Linked DNA regions of Drosophila melanogaster. The protein of the gene in region 2 purifies or fractionates together with the protein of the main gene of each other region. This does not show direct contact. Each region holds a gene or a part of one and is shown on either strand. Other genes may lie near its edges.

Evidence for each region. Proteins that work in one complex are often made in the same cells at the same time.
Region 1: the proteins of Sas-6 (region 2) and Plp purify together in Drosophila melanogaster (affinity purification with western blotting, with the first as the bait; one study listed by BioGRID). This does not show direct contact.
Region 3: the proteins of Sas-6 (region 2) and Gorab purify together in Drosophila melanogaster (affinity purification with western blotting; one study listed by BioGRID). This does not show direct contact.

The regions. Positions count from the first base shown.
Region 1 is NT_037436.4:15,086,838-15,092,844, forward strand, and holds the start of Plp (Pericentrin-like protein), read right to left. Parts: upstream 3,357-6,007; 5' UTR 2,982-3,356; coding exon 2,955-2,981; intron 1,717-2,954; exon of another isoform or gene 1,489-1,716; coding exon of another isoform or gene 1,474-1,488; intron 1-1,473. Other genes in the region: sstn (stepping stone), read right to left, coding at 4,517-6,007.
Region 2 is NT_033777.3:29,993,120-29,998,302, forward strand, and holds Sas-6 (spindle assembly abnormal 6), read left to right. Parts: upstream 1-2,237; 5' UTR 2,238-2,247; coding exon 2,248-2,421; intron 2,422-2,480; coding exon 2,481-3,332; intron 3,333-3,390; coding exon 3,391-3,724; intron 3,725-3,778; coding exon 3,779-3,837; 3' UTR 3,838-3,907; downstream 3,908-5,183. Other genes in the region: Acph-1 (acid phosphatase 1), read right to left, coding at 1-76; CG7903 (uncharacterized protein), read right to left, coding at 643-694, 754-969, 1,029-1,620, 1,674-1,959, 2,031-2,039; CG15525 (uncharacterized protein), read right to left, coding at 3,908-4,256, 4,319-4,455. UniProt on the Drosophila melanogaster protein: Central scaffolding component of the centrioles ensuring their 9-fold symmetry. Required for centrosome biogenesis and duplication. In ciliated neurons, required for centriole assembly but not necessary for cilium basal body and cilia function.
Region 3 is NT_037436.4:17,426,449-17,431,454, forward strand, and holds Gorab (Golgin, RAB6 interacting), read right to left. Parts: upstream 2,389-5,006; 5' UTR 2,298-2,388; coding exon 2,198-2,297; intron 2,114-2,197; coding exon 1,414-2,113; intron 1,357-1,413; coding exon 1,140-1,356; 3' UTR 857-1,139; downstream 1-856. Other genes in the region: Polr3G (RNA polymerase III subunit G), read right to left, coding at 1-222, 280-408, 478-621; Coq4 (coenzyme Q4), read right to left, coding at 2,699-2,855, 2,929-3,152, 3,407-3,611, 3,669-3,889. UniProt on the Drosophila melanogaster protein: Required for centriole duplication likely through its interaction with Sas-6. During embryogenesis, maternally provided protein is required for centrosome duplication and nuclear division cycles of the syncytial embryos.

The sequences.
Region 1 (6,007 bases), on a different chromosome or scaffold from region 2:
CTCTGTCCACTCGAGTGATCTATATGTCTGAAGGTGTTTGAAACGTGTGCCACACATGCATCCGTTCCCCAATCGAGTGAGGAAATATTTAAGCATTTTCCAATTACATTTTTCACAGATGGAAATCTAATTAGATCGCATGCATATATAGCGATGTGCCAAGGCGATGCATTCAACGTTTGAATAATAAGCCTTTTCCAACTTATATCGTAGATCATACAGTAAATGTCGGCTTACATATATGCAAACTTTTTAAATTTTATTTAAAATATATTTATTGCAATATTTGCTTTAAAAAAAAAAGAGTTATTTCCCATTTATATTAAGTTTAAATTGTAATTTACATACAATTCAAGTCCGTACTGTATTTTGAACGACTGAAAAATATATTTTCCATATTACACATACGCCATGTGGGTCAGGCCGTAACGCTTGACAAAGTTTTCACAATATTAGCGGAAAATGCTTGTGAAAAAGTTATCCAATTCCCGGCCACATGGTGGTTTGAACGTCCTTGAACTTGTCAGGACAAAGACAACAACAACACATTCAGGAAGTACCAGCACAGCGATAAGGATATCGGGATAACAAGTTTGCACCTATAACCATGACAACGGATTTTCTTTGAGTGTGCGTGAAAAACGAAAACGAAAGTCTTTTACATTCCTTGCAAACATTTCAATTTGTTGCTATAGTTTGGACCTCTTTTGTGGGCCGTTGTTTGGGTGTGACACACATTTCAGTTGGATCGTCTGAGGTTTTTGCACTTCGGCGACTAATAACAACAATGCCACTCCCCTTTGGAACGGGAAAAGGGGCGAAGGACCTAGCCCAACGTCTCTGTTAATGGCGCTGACGCCTTTCCTTTGATTTTCCACAAGATATTGTCGATAAACCCTCAATAATGGCACGCATATTGGCGAAAATGATTAAATTAATAGCTTTGCCTGGCGCAGAATTGACAGTGAAATATGTTGGACAAAAATAAATTCGGATTGGAGAAAGGATTTTCTTTTGCGTTGCTATGAAGAAAGGTTATTTCATTTAAAGGGTTTAGTTTAATATAAATTCTTAAACGCTTGCATTTAACATTTTCATATTTTATATAAAAATTTACATATGAACACACAATTTATATGATTGTGAAGTAGATGATGAATTGCTTTATATCCTATACCCGCATTTTATTTGATTTACAAACCAAATCTTTTACAGCATTATTCTTTCAAATAGTAATTCTAATAAATAATATTCAAGAACAATTAAGAATGAGATCGTATCGTAACTAAATTTATAGAAAATATGGTAAATACTGTATAATTTTCTCTAAGTACACTGCAATGCAAAAAAAATCCACTAATTTGGTTCATTATCATGCGGTTTCGAATGATATTAACACACTTTGGCTGGCGAGTGATGCAAATGTCACTGGGCGATGCTAAAGATCACATTGCGGACAATAACTGAACTCACATGCAATTTCCCCATTTCGCTGCCCGCCACTCATTCGATTCAATTCAGCGATGAAGAAGTTATCTCAATTAAATGCAATTTACAATCACTTAAAAAGTCCATATATCGACAATGGCTATTGAGGGTTACATTGTGCAAACTTCTACGTATATGCAAATGTTTCGTAGATTTTTTTAAACAATTTTATGGGATCACAGGCACTGACACTGCACTCTTATCTTTATAGAGCTATAAATGTGCGGAAAACCGAAAAACGACGACGCGACCGCCTGCAGTGCAGGTTCTTTTATAAATAAAACGCCCGAAGAGACATTCAATTGAAATCAGTCACTCAATCCGAGGAAAATCAAAAGAAAAGCGTTGGAAAAGAGCAGCCACGGGAGAGGCCGAGCGATTGAGAGCGAGTGCCGCGGAAATTTGCAACGCGGTTCCAAGCGGTTCCGTGCACCGAATGTTCGCTCCCATTTTTTATTTATAAACAAAATGTGTGTGTGGAACATAAATTTGTTTGGAAGATGGTGATAAATGCAAAAGAGTAGTTTTAAAAGCATTTAGAACTATTGTTTTACGATTCGCGATTGCGATTGATACTGAAGTAGCTATATATATAAGTACTTAGAATTAGTATTATAATCAGAATTAATGTCCCTCAAAAACTGTTATATTTCATTTTTTATAGTTAGTAATTTATAATTATTCTATAATCATCATAAAACATTTTAAGTTAAGTTTAAAAACTTGAAGTTCAAATTTTATTTTAAAATTTGTATACAATAACAATTTAATATAAGAAATTCGAGCCATTAATCATTTCGATGAATATTAAAAATTTTTGATCATTTTCGTATACATTATCCAAAAATTTTCATCGTATTGCGGTACATGTATTAGATTTATTCAGCAACAAGTTGCAGAAACATTCTTTCCTCAACAAAATCGATAAGCGAATCGGTTATTGTAGCGAGACATTTTTTCAAAAATATGAATATTGATGTTTATAATAAACAGGGAAACAGTAGCCAAGATTCACTAATAAATGTATTAGTTATTTAACAAAGCAATTAAAACCGCATAATGTGGACAATTCAATTATAATTTTCACTTAAAAAGTTGCTCTATAATAATAAAAAGTATGCTATTCAATGATATAAAATATAATACTTATTTAAAAAATAAAATATTATTTAAAATTCCTAATCCGTTGGGTATTTTTCACTGTAGATTGTTTACAGATTTCGGAAGGGCCTTGTGGTCTTCTAATCGAAAGTTCAAAGGCGCATTCAATTTCGATTTCATTTGTAAACACACTTGAAAAACAACATGTTCTGTTTGTGGATCGTAATGAATTGAAAACACACATATCAAGGCGCATTCAACCCACATTTTGTGGATTTTATGCACAATCCGAGAGCACAGATGATGGATGTTCGGCTCCCAAATGGGTTAATACTTTAATGGATACCCCTGATTGTTTGGCTTACCCAATCGTATATAGTGTACAGATTCATGGTGACTGCACTTGAACCAAATAATTTATGGCCTATTCCCTGTTTTTTGGCCGCCTTTGTTGACACTTGCGCCTGTCAGTTGGCTATATCTATAGGCATTCTAGATGTGGCCCAAATGCGATCCATTTTCTTGTTGATGTTTTTACGTAGTGGTTTTGATGACACTATATTTTAGAATTTTTTCGGGTTGACTTGCTTACAAACACAGACGAATGCAACGAACCGAATAATTTTGTAGGTTAGGTTGGAGACTTTACGTAAAATTTGATATTTTTTTAATTTAAAGTTTAACACGAAGACAACACAATGGGGGAAACTAGCTACTTAAAGCGTGAACTCTTAATTTATCATTATGTGATTTTCAATGCTCCTCGAGGGAGAAAGAACCGACAAATTTGAAACTTAAAAACAAAAAAAAACCAATAGTGCAACCGATCTGAAACAGTTGCACGTAATAGCGAGCGCGATGCAACTGAGAACCAAATCCATTGCGAAGAGTCTTTATATTTTTGGGGTATCGGGGGATATCCACGCTCTTTTTCTCCCCATCCAGATACTGTAATGCTCAGTGAAGCACAACAAGAGATTGTTTAAAAATAATCAATCGTAAACAAAATTTGTTGCAGTGGCATTGAGTTGGGGAGAGTCCAAAAGAGAGAATTCAATGTACTACTACCAGATCGCGAGAGAAACAAAGAGAAATCCGAGAGATAAAGGGGAGGAAAGTAATTAAGTTTTATCGGTTGTTCTATAAATAAGTTTTAACCAGAGATTAAGGAACTACAAGATATATTCGATAAGGAATGATTTAAGGAAGTGAGAACACATTTATGGGTATAAATGAGACATTTATTTATAGGCTAGGGAAATATAAAGCTTTCTTTTCATTTCAATTATTCAAAAAATCTGAAATGCTACAAGAGCATTAATAATGTTTTGAGAAAAATATTGGAAGTTCAACGAAATATTTGAATGCTTAAATATCAATAAAAACGCACTCGCATATATTTTAATATAAAATATTTATTTTTATCTATTTGTTATTGCTTGTCGGTAGTTAGTCTTAAGAAAACTCGGTGAATATATCAGTATCCAATCGGTATATTCATATAAAAATATCATTCGATTAGGGTAAATATCCTTTATACACTTATTAGTTAGCTAGTCAGTTATTTGTTTATAAATGCTGTTAACTATATAAAATATTTCCATATTTTCTAGGCATCCTGTTGTAAGGCGATTTCTGTCCCCCTCGGGGATAATATTGTCCTGTGTTTTTTGTACTTTAAAAATTCAATACAAAATTTGAATGTCGTTCGATAAATTGCTTTCAATACGTCAGTTTTCAATTTGGCAGATCTTTTGAGCATTGTTATTTTCTTGATCCTAAATAATTTGGCTAACGAACTTAAAATTCGAAAGGAGTCCAATAGTTTGAGCTGCTTTTGCTTTGTAGTTTCTCAGTGCTACAAAATTAGTTTAGTTAATCACATTAAAAGGTGAAAGTGCATGAGAATTCCGTACAACCTTATAGGTCAATTAGGATTTCCGCCCTCCTTTTGCTTAAACTTGGTGGAGTATTTGTAGAAATCGGACATCTCGAAGGGTTTCGTCACTTCCTTGTACGGCTGGAAAGTGGCCTGCTGAACTACGGTCATGTTTTTGGGCGACTCGATGCGAATTTCCGGCGATAAACTGGCTGTGGCCACTGTTACTGGCGGTGACACAAGCGCTGTTTGGACAGCATTCCCATGAGCAAGTCCGCTTGAACTGCCATTACCACTGTGACTTAGGTTCTGGTTCTGAGTATGAGCCTGATTTGCGGGTGGCGGTCTGGGCGGCGGCGTTGGCTGCTGCATTTGACTTGGCTTGGGTGGTAAGTTTCGCAGTGCTGGTATGTCCAGAGGTTCCAGCGGATACGATACCGATATCCCCAAAGTTTGCTCCATTGCATTGAGATACGAAGTCGATTGACTTAGCAGGGCTTTCGAACTGGTATTCACCGCATAGCTGGCACTGGGATAATTCGGAGTCGGTCGCTGGTTGGACATGGAATAGTGACGACCCGCTACCGACATGGACTGCGAGGAGAGCTTAGCGCGGGGTTTACTTGAAACCATGGCAGCTGCGCCGGGATTACTACTCCCATTACTACTCCCAGCTGGACTGTGGGGCTGTGAATCCATCTGCCTGATAACAGCTGGCCCATCTAGCGAAGATTCCAGCCACTGCTTGGGCTTGGGCTTCTTCTCAATGGTCGTGGACGAGGATGACAGTGAGATCTCATCGTGCGGCGGATAGCGGCTGGGTGGCATAGGCACCGCCAGCATATCGCTGGAGTGCGATTTCACCTCTATTATGCCCAATTGTGGAGGAGTTAAGGGCGCTATGTGTGACTGGGAACGCCATCGATATTGCTGCTGATGCTGGGCAGCTTCCATATCGACGGAAACATAGCTGGGCGCAAGGGATATAGCATCTAGTTGTCGCTGGTGATGTAAAGGATTACGCTGTTGCTGCTGCTCGTAGCTGATATTACTGGGCGATGCCATTGGGGACACATATTTCTTGATGTTCTGACTTGATTTAATAAAGCCGCCCTCATTGTAACTTTGATGCGTGGGCGATAGGTAATATTTATCGCACTGCACTATAATTGGTTGCTGCTGGGGCGCCACTTGTGGCGGTTGCCTTAAAGTTGCTACATTGGATGAATTCGCCGAGTACATGGATATGACATCCGGCTGTGATCTCTGGTAGTTCATGTTCATTGCTAAATGAGCTTGTTGCTGATGCTGCTGGCGCATATATTGCATTTGACTCGGCGTGGGTGTTGGTCGCTTCTTCAGGGCACTCTTCACCAGAGGCGGTTGTTGTTGCGCCTGCTGCTGGGCCACGCCTATTACCAGCATATCGCCCGCCCCCGCCGATGAGGAGGGTTGGTAATTGTCATATTCTGAACTGCGATTCGATAGCGTTTCCGACTGTCGATTGTTATTGTTGATGGTCATTTGGCTGTCGCGACT
Region 2 (5,183 bases):
AGCGCTGGCTTGGGTGGTTCCACATTTTGCGAGCCACACTTGTTACAAGTGAACCACAGCGACTGCGGGAAAACATATGTGAGCATGCGAATACAGGTTACGGCGTTTGGTCTACGGCTATAACGGGTATTAGTTCCCTTACCTCGACCGTATAACTGGCGATCTGTTCGTTCGTCGTTCGCATATATACAGCAGGCAGTCTGAAGTTTACCAAATTTCTGATTTCTTTGTTTATAATTTTGGGGACCTGTTTGATAACCACACAAAGCTTCGAAGTCTCGATAACGATAGTTGTCCCCAACCAACCCTAGACCCTAACAGTAATCTTTTGGCGGGATGATTTAAAAACGCAAATGGTGTTTATGATTGTATTGATTGATTGACTCGTCGTATCTAGTTGCACACAAGAAATATGATTATTTAAGTATTGCATAAATATCGAAACAATCTTAGACTACGAATAACAAATATACTGTTGATGTTGGTCTTAAAAGTACACGGCTATAGGACAAATTAAAAGTCGTCGTCGTTGGCTTAACTAAAAGATTCTGCGCGCGGAACAATGAAAAACAAAATTCGGCTATTACATTATTAAGTGGAGTACACGTGGACTGGCAAACATCGTTGCTGCATTGCACTTGCTTAAAATCTTCTATTGCCGCCCATATTTGGCCCGGGTCTGGGCCCGTTGAAGCTGGAAATGGCGATGATTGGGGTTAGTGGTTTTTATGCAGACGATATGAATGAACCTACCGGTTTCTTTGGCCTGGACCTCCGCCGCCACTGCCCAAGGGCGGGAACTCCGAGTGATATGCATTTATGCCATTCTGATTGTGATTTCTACCTCCTGAACCTCCGCGTTTGCTTGGGCCTCCTTGGGGACTGCTTGTCTCGTGACTGCTATCGCGTCTGTCATTGAATCCGCCTCCTCCTCCATTGAAAAATCCACGTCCTCCCGGTGGATTTCCTCTATATGGCAAAACAAGATATTATATATAATTTAGAACCCAATCTTATGCACAACTTACCCATTAGTCCCACGATTGCCAGAGTTCATTGGTCCATTGCCAAAGCGTCCGAAGCCCATTTGCTGCTGCTGATGCTCTACAGGCAGGGCAAATCCACGTCGATCCTGTCGCACATGGCTTGGACCTGGGCCGCCGCCGCCGGCCCTCTGATTTACGGATCCTCCTCCCCCGCTGCTGGAGCTGCCTCCCTGAAAGTCACTATTATTGCCTCCTCCCCTATATCCGCTGGTTGGACTGTTCTTAAAGTTTCTTCTGCCAGGCTGTGGTCCACTGTTGTCCCGCTGCTGAAACCGATTGCTGCCGAAGCGTCCCTCGTTGCCCGCGCTTCCACCGAACTTGCCTCCGCCTGCAAATTTGTTCCTAAAGCCCTGTCCCTGATTGGAAGACTCATTGTTCGGTGGTCCTTTCGAGTATGGAGCACTGCGCTGTTGTCTGTAGTTGGACTCGTTTCTCACGGGACCAAATTTGGCGGCCGAGGAGTTCGAGCTCCTTGGGCCTTCGTTGGAGAATCTGCCACCGACTTCCTCACGAAAGTTGCGCTTGAAGTTGGTATTGGATTCATGAGGTCTCTTGTCCGCCCCGCCACCTTGAACTGAGGATGATGAAATACTTAGATGCTGGATCTTTGGAGTGATCAAAGCTTACCCTGCGAGGGCCTGCGCCCCGGATTGTCCCCAGAGCCCGGCTGACCTCGACTGCCACCTCCCGGGCCGTACTTTGGCCTGCCCGCCTCCACCACAATGGGCTGGCCCTTGAAGATGGTGCCATTCAGCGCTGCGATGGCCGCCTCCGCCATGTCCGTGTTCTCCAGATGGACGAAGGCGCAGCGATTCATCACGTCGCACTCAACGACCGATCCATAGTTGGTGAACAGTCGACGCAGCTCCTCCGGCTTGCAGCGCGGCAGGCTGCCGACGAACACCTTGGCGGTCTGCAGGATAAAGCTAGCATTACTCCGGATTACTATGGACAATCCGGCGGCGCTGCCTCTTTCTTACGTACAGTATTCATGTATTTATTTTTCTCTACAACTTTTCGCTGTTTTTTTCTTTTATTGAAATGGAGATGGACAACTGTGCACCTGACCGGCAGTGTGACCAGCGATGGCTACTTCCACGGCCATATCGGTAGCTATCGACATCGATAGACCCAAGCCATCACTTTTGTTTACCAATTTTAAAATTTTAAAAATTAAGGTTTCTCACGAGCCTGATCTATCATGTGGCCTCCAGGGAGCGAGGATAGCTACTCCGCCAAAATGGACTATGGCAAGAGCGTGGTGAACATCCTGCCCAGCGTAGAGATGCTGGTGAACTTTAATGGCGAAATGACGCGGTCTAGCAAACGGTCATGTCTACTGTACGCGGAGAGAGTGGACTTCAAGGAGCTGCTGGTAAATATGCTTGTCAAGACCTCCTCCGATCAAATTTCAATACATCCTCTGCCCCACAGCAACTCCGATTAACGGAGAAGTCCGATCAACGGCGCATGTACATCACCACAGTGGACAGCGCCTCCTTTCAGGATCTTAAACAGGATCAGTCGCTGAATGTGTCATTCTCTGGGTTCATTGACAATGTAGTGCGCATGCTGAAGGACTGCCAGTCGGGTAAACTGGAGCTGCACCTGACCACACGGGATCAGAACCTTTCATCCGGCAGGGAGGTCCACGACTATTATCTTCAGTTTGTTGAAATTCGGTCCTTTAAGAACCTAGTTCACCTTAGCCTGCCTTGTCGTTCTGCTCCCTTGAACACCGTACTCTTCTACATAAACAGCATGCTGGAAGCCTCCCACAAAAAGCAATATATTCTCGAGCAAAGTATGCAGCAAATGCAGGCTGAAATCAACGCACAACGCGCGCATGCGGAAAGGTTGACCACGGAAAACACAAATATCAGGGAAGCTTTGGCCGAAAATACTCGCATCTTAGAGGAAAAGCATGCTGCCGAGGTCCATCAATACCAGGAAAAACTGTCCAAAATAAACGAGCAGCGCAGCAATGAGCTGGAGAGAAATCGTAGAGCGATCTCCGGCTTTCAGGCCCAATTGGACAAGGCTTCGTTGGAGAAAGCAGAACTAAAGTCGGCCCAAGAGCAGGCCGAGAAACGATGTCAAACCCTGTCCGAGGAGTTGTCCTGTTGCAAAGCCAGAGTGTGCACCCTAAAAGAGCAAAATGACAAACTGCACGGGGATGTGGCCAATATCAGGAAGCATGAACGCAAGTTGGAGTACAAAATCGAGGACCTCAAGCAGCACACTGTCGAGCTGCAGGAACATATTCAAAAGGGAAACAAAGAGAAGGTATGTGTATAAAAAGAATAATGCACATCAGAAGAGTATATCCCTTTTAATTTTGCAGGCCAACATAGCCGCTGAACTGGAGGCCGAGAAGAAGATCCTGCACACCAAGCGCCAGGCTTTGGAAATGGCCTCCGAGGAGATCTCCAAGGCCAACCAGATAATCGTTAAACAAAGCCAGGAGCTGCTCAACCTCAAAAAGACCATTGCCTGGCGCACAGAGGTGGCTCTGCAGCAAGAGAAGGCGGTTCAGGCCAAGGAGAGCCTACTATCCCTGCGGGAGAATGAGCTGCGCGAGGCTCGAATAACTATTGAAAAACTGAGGGAGGAAATCCCCCAGCAACTGCAATCCATGCGTAACTTTGCCCAGGGACTGGAGCAGAAGTATTCCAAACGTAAGCTGAGACCCCAATCTTTAAGTGTACCTACTTACAACTTGCTCTTTTCAGAAATCCTCATTCTAAAAGAACGGCTTGCAATACCCACGGGCAAAGAAAATCGGCGATAGTTTTACTTATTGTTAATGCATTTTTTCGTTTTTTGTACCAGTTTAGTAAAGTTAGTTGTATTATTCAGCTCTAGTCATAATCCTCCTGAACACTTTCACCTGCATGAGCCGTGGCCACATTCACCGCTTGGCTGATATCCTCCATTTGGTTCAGTTTCAGTCGCTCACGGATGAGTTCAGCAATAGCTTTCTGGGTACGTCGTTCCAGTCGCTCCAACTTTTTGCTGGCATCCCGCTTCAGATCCCAGTCGGGTTTTCGGGGAGCCAGGTTGGTTATGTCAATCTCATCTATCACCATGGGCTGCTGGAGCAGACTCAATTGATCCTCCACAGCTGATTCTATGTTGCCCGTGGGTTCCTGTGCTAGAATCTCGCCATCGGTGGTCTCATTCTGGGGCTTGTAGCTGCGGAAAACTGGTCTGCAAAGATATATGAAACTGGTTTATAGGGATTCATAATAGCATTTCATTGTATTGCTGACTTGGGTAACTTTTCAATGGACTCGGCAGCGTCTCCTCCTTTGTTTTGCACTTGTTCCCGGAGTTTTTGCAGACGCTCCTTGCGTTTTAGAGATTCTTGTGTCAGCTTGCCGACGCCATTGTTGTCCATCATGCCCATGTGAAGTTTGTTCTCAAGATAATACAATTAATTTAAATTTGAGTCTGGGGTCTTTACGTTTATTTATTATTGTTATGTTTCTTGTTCTTCCCATACATATATCGTATATCGATTACAATCGCGTTCGTTACCAGCTTGGAATTATGCAGGTATGAACTATTATTTTACAACAAGATATTTGTTGTTATACAAGATTCGATTTTATTTTATTTATTACAATTTAAGATTAAGGAGGCGTATCAAGATATTAAAAATACATAATTACTTTAGTGACGAAAGCAACCACATTCCACAACGAATACGGTCTGATCGAAACAACCGATGAATCGATAGCGGCCAAGATGGATACACAGCGTTTGTTTTTGCGCAAGGGGGTGGAAATCGGAAATCTGCTGTACTTTCGTGCATTTTAAACAAACCAAATAGGCATTATAGCCGATGGAAGTGGACCCAGCATCCTTCCAGCTCCTCTAGGCACCCGTTCCAGGGCCCGGCGGCTAGTCCGTCCCTGCCAATTGGCGCAGCGACATCGGCAGAGCGCAACCAGCTGCTGTTTGGAGTAGCAAAAATAAACCAGAGCACAGCTCCCGCTCCCGCTCCCGAGCACAGAGACTATCCCGATCCGCATCGAGGTAACTTCTGTGGTCTATTAATATTAGTGGCCGGCTAACCAGTGCGCGATCCCTTCCCCGACAGAAAGGGAGAACCGACAGCCCATTGTTCTGACA
Region 3 (5,006 bases), on a different chromosome or scaffold from region 2:
GGAATCGGACTCTTGTTTGTTCTCGTCCTGCTCACCGCCACCTGATTTCAGTTCTTTCTGCTCCAGAACCTTCAGTCTGTCCTCGATGTTTGTCTTCTTGGTCAGCAGATTCGGCCTTGCATCTGCTCCACGACGTTTTCGACTGGAGATGTTTAGCTCTTGGGGCATGGCTTTGTAGTTAAAATCGGGTTGTGCTGTGAGCTTCATGCGCTCCATGGCTTTCTGGGGGTGTAAAAGCAGGATTATAAGCAGCTAATTTAAAATAGCCAGTATTATTACTTCTCGCCAGTCCTTGTGATCAAGGTTTTTTGCGTCCCGACTGGCGGAGATCATGTAATAGGGGGAATCTCGCATTCGGTTCAGAAAGTCCTCCTTCCACAGGAGCTGATAGTTCTGTGTGGCTGTTGTCTATCGAAGTAAAACAGGTAAAAAGTTGATCGATGTTTTTTAAACTAATGTAAATGGATTTGTACCCACTTCTAGGGTAGTGGGTCTGTTCAAAACAGGCGGAAATGTAGGTGGCGGCGCCGTCTGCACCGGCATATCCTTTGTGCATCCCAACATGGCCATTTGCTCCGCCGTGAGGGTGCCTGTCTTGCCGCCCCTTCCGCGGCCTGCCATTATAAATGCTTAATTTATTGTATTCTGTTTAGAAACACTTATTTCCGATTGTATTGTTCAGCTTGCACGTTTATTAAACTCTGAAAACGATCAGCTGTTGCCGCAGCTAACGGTGTTGCCACATAGTCAAAGCCAAACAATAACATTATTGAAGAATGTTCGCTTTTTAATACCCTTATTTTTATTTAGGTCGCAGTTCCAACTACTCAGTTTCAGTAATTACACTTTAATTTTACACATAACATATACATATTTTATTTGCAATTTGCACTTCATCACTTAGGCTATGAACATTAATTACATGCTAATATTAGAGCGCATTCGACATATTTCAGGCGTGTTTTATGTTTACAATTCCAATACAATATAGCCGATGGAAAATTAGTACATAATTTTCCAATTTAAAAAATATAATATTTCAGGGAGCAACAAATTGATACTTTTGGTCAAGTTAAGCAAACACCGCTGAAAATTCGAATTAAAGATGATTTGAAGTTGAATTTACACGTGTTACGTGTTTAGGGGCTTTGTTGAGTTAAATCAATCGGTTGGCAATCATCGGTTGGCGACAGACCCACTTTCTGCATCAATTCAGTAAGCTTTTGCGCTTTACGGTCCTCGTTGTGGGCAATTACTGTGCATAGATGCTCTGTGAGCAGCTCCTTCTTTTCGGATGCATTGTGCAGCTCTATCTTGGCCCGCAAGAACTGAGCCTCGATTTTGACGTATTGTTTTCTGTGTAACATAAATATTAATAAGGGAAACACACAAGTATTTGGCTTCGCCACTTACTCTACATTGGCAAAATGTATGCAGGCATTGTCGATCTGCTTCCTCAGCAGAGCTACGTCCACGGCCAGATCACTTTCCAGCTTGGACAGCTCGTGGCGGATCTCCTCGATCTTTCGCGACTCCGCCGCCGTCTTCTGGGTGTGCTGCTCGATGGCCTGGTACAGCATTTGCTTCTTCTGCTTGTTCTGCTCCTCGATCATGCGGCGATGCTGTTCGAAGTCCTTCAGCGAGATGCCCTTGAAAGGTGAGTCTGTGTTGAGGCGCTCCCGCGGCGAGGTGTCCTGGGTACTCGGCAGGATGCTGCCATCATCGGTGGAGCTAGTTGTCTGGCTGTCACCGCCGCTGATCTTCAGAATCGAACTGTCGTCGGTGGACGTTGTTTCAGCATCTGCATACGTGGCGGGAGTTTTCTTATCTCTAGCTGTAGCATTTCCATGGTAGAGTGCCTCTATTAATGAATCGGAGAGTGGGCGGTCCAAATTTAGCGATCCGTTCGCTACGTCATCCTCCGCCGCGGGAGTGGGAGTCGGTGGCTTTTCCGTGGGAGTCGCTGTTCCCGATTTGGTCTTCTTCGCCACATCCGGTTTTTGTATGGGTTGCTGTGGTTGCTGCTGCTGCTGCTTCCGTAACTGATCCGCTTGCCGGAAGATCTTATCGGGCATACGCCGAATGCCGGGTTGAATTCGGAGCGCCGGCTTCGCTGCTCACGCACACATAGGCAAAGGTTTTTATTATAAACAGATAATTGTTTACACGCTTTGGGGTTCATGCTTAGTGATCTAACCTGCTTCCAGACTCGCAGGCCTTTTGCCCACACCGCCCTCCTTCACGCCCGTTATCTTGAGGATCTCGTCGTGGCTAAAACCATTGAATTTCTCAGTCATGGTGTTTAACTTAGGGATAATTAGCCATTAAGACGATCGACCGAAAAAAACAAAACAACACATCAGCAAATGCAAACAGAACGAGTGGAGTTGCCACATCGGGTTAAGTTTTGATGCGATCATTCGCGGAAATTGACTGTTCTCACTGTGCTCAAATTCTAATATAAAAAATAATATAAAGTTTTTTTCTCGATCTTTAAATTATTTCGGCAAACTGCATCAACTTTTATATTTATTGCTATAATCAAATAATAATTTTCTTTGTAAGTGGAAACATCTACAATCAGTTCGACGTTACACGACGTTGCCAGATCACAATTCTACGATCGCGATAGGACTGCTCGATACTAATAGTCGATAAGTTCAAAATTTAAAAATGGGCTTAAAAATAAACAGCCTTATCAAGCTTTATTCAGCACAGTAATGCCCAATTCGGAGCGCAGCTCGTGGATGTTCTGCTCCCAGCGCTTCTCCCAGTAGACGGGCATCAAGGGCTTGGTCCGCTTGCCGTTCTCCAGGGCCCACGGCAAGTAATGCTTCAAGTACGCACGCCGCTGCCTAAGTGGAGGAGAAAATAAACAAACGCGTGAATGGGGAGCTATAATTAGAGAACCCAGTTCACTGAACTCACTTGGGACGTAGGCGAACTGCTCCGAATACCGCACCACCGTAGCACATGGGCAGGCCCGTGTTCAGAGCCTCCACCCACTTGACAGCCACCTCGCCCAGCATATTGGTGGGCATGTCCAGCACCGTGTGGATTAGGTCGTGGCATTCGCGATATCGCGTCATCAAGTAGGCCAACTTCGGGTCCTCCAAAAACCGCACGGCCATGCGACTGTCCGGCGTGACTTGCTGAAAATTGATTACCAAAATAATCGTTGAAGCGATGGACAAAAGCAATTATTATTTTATTTTCCATCTAAATATATCTTTTATATGCAAGTATGTTTATGAGACAATAATTTTTAAGATTTTCAATTGTTACCAACTTCAAATTCGACCATGACATTCACTGTCCAAATTCTCTTAGGAATGTCTTTGAACCAGATTTTCGTCGTTTTATGGTTACTAACGCTTTTTCTTACCGGATTCTTTGAACTACTTACATTATCTTTCAGAAACTTTACGTAAGCGGCTCCAAAGGTATCCGGTGGCAAAGTTTCCAGATACTTGAAGTCAATGGTGCTGGTGTGGATGCGGGGCTTATCAGCCATGATGCGCTGACCCTCCTCGCTGGCTTGCATGGTGTCCAAAATTGTCCATAGAGCATCCTCTCCAGTCGTCTCACCCAAACAGGCGATCATGTCATGACTTCATAATAATAATTAAGAGTTTTAAGAGATTTTTAAATTTCATCAGATGCCCTACCGTCTTGGATTCAAGAGCGCGGCAATGGAGGATCCTGCCCCCAGGAACAGCCGCTGGAAGGGCGATATCTCGATTCGCTCCTTGAGGTACTGACGCTCGAAGGCATCCAGAGGTTCCGCCTCGGGTGCTTCTGTGGCCACCGCTTGGCTATTAGCCTGGGCCAAGCGAAGGCCTCGTCGTAGGGCCAGCGGCTTTTGGAGACGCAAACAGCGTTGCATCATGATGATCTGTGGATTCATAGAGGAGATATGGGGAGGTGCACCCGGTGGTGACCTTATCAGCACGATCGTCGGCATCATCATCATTACATTATTATTATCATCATCATCATCGTCGCACACAAACATGACCCTGACTACCTGTCTTCGGTTAAAGCTGGTCCCTCGAGCCATACGTACGTATGTACGTGCCCACTTTCAATAGCGGCGAATATGAGCAAACAATTTGTCCATAATGTGGGTACGCGGTCGGGGCTGATGCTGACTAACAATTTACCTCACCGCACGGCTAAGTCTGTGCAAACCTGTTTCGGCTTCCTCATTACCTGTCCCCACTCCGAATCCCTCACTTCACCACCGCCCATCATATATTGCGGGCTCCCAAAATAACCCAAACAAAGTGCTGCCGGGGCACTAGCACCTCATTCTGCCGCTTTATGCCCGATTCAATGTCGTCATTGTTGTTTCTTTGGATAAATGAGTAGTCACCATTTAAAAGATAAGTTTAGCAACATATATGTGGGATATTTAAATCTTAATCTTTTGATAAGGAACTAGGCAGTTACCAAGTAAAATCTAATTCTAAGAAAATAGATAGCCATCTTAAAGTATACATACTTATTTCGCTAAAACAAAACAGTTTCAGCTGCGCAAATTTATTTACTTTTAAGACAAAGAAAAAGATTCTTCAGCACTACAATCTAAACAAAAGCCTTTTGAGGCAATTACCAAATGAAACGGAAAATAACACAAAATATCGGAAGGCGTACTATTCTAAAAAATACTATCACCACTCGCAATCACGTTCTTGGCTGATAATATTGTTTTTTTTTTATTCAACATAAAAACCCAAAATTTTGATATAGAGTAATCAGTAATCGAGCAACCTATCCAAAGCTTTTTACATAGTGATGTTGAGTGATGACGCTGCTGGATTGTCCGGCAATGCAGTACTTTGTTTTGTATTAATCTCAAGGCGCCAACGTGTTTGCTCAGAATAGATAAACAACAACCTATTAAGCACAAGTAATTGGCAAATCCCACAACGCAGTTCCACTACATTACTTATTTTACACAAAAAAGTAATTAGAAAAGCACGTGAGAGAGAGCAAGATGTCTG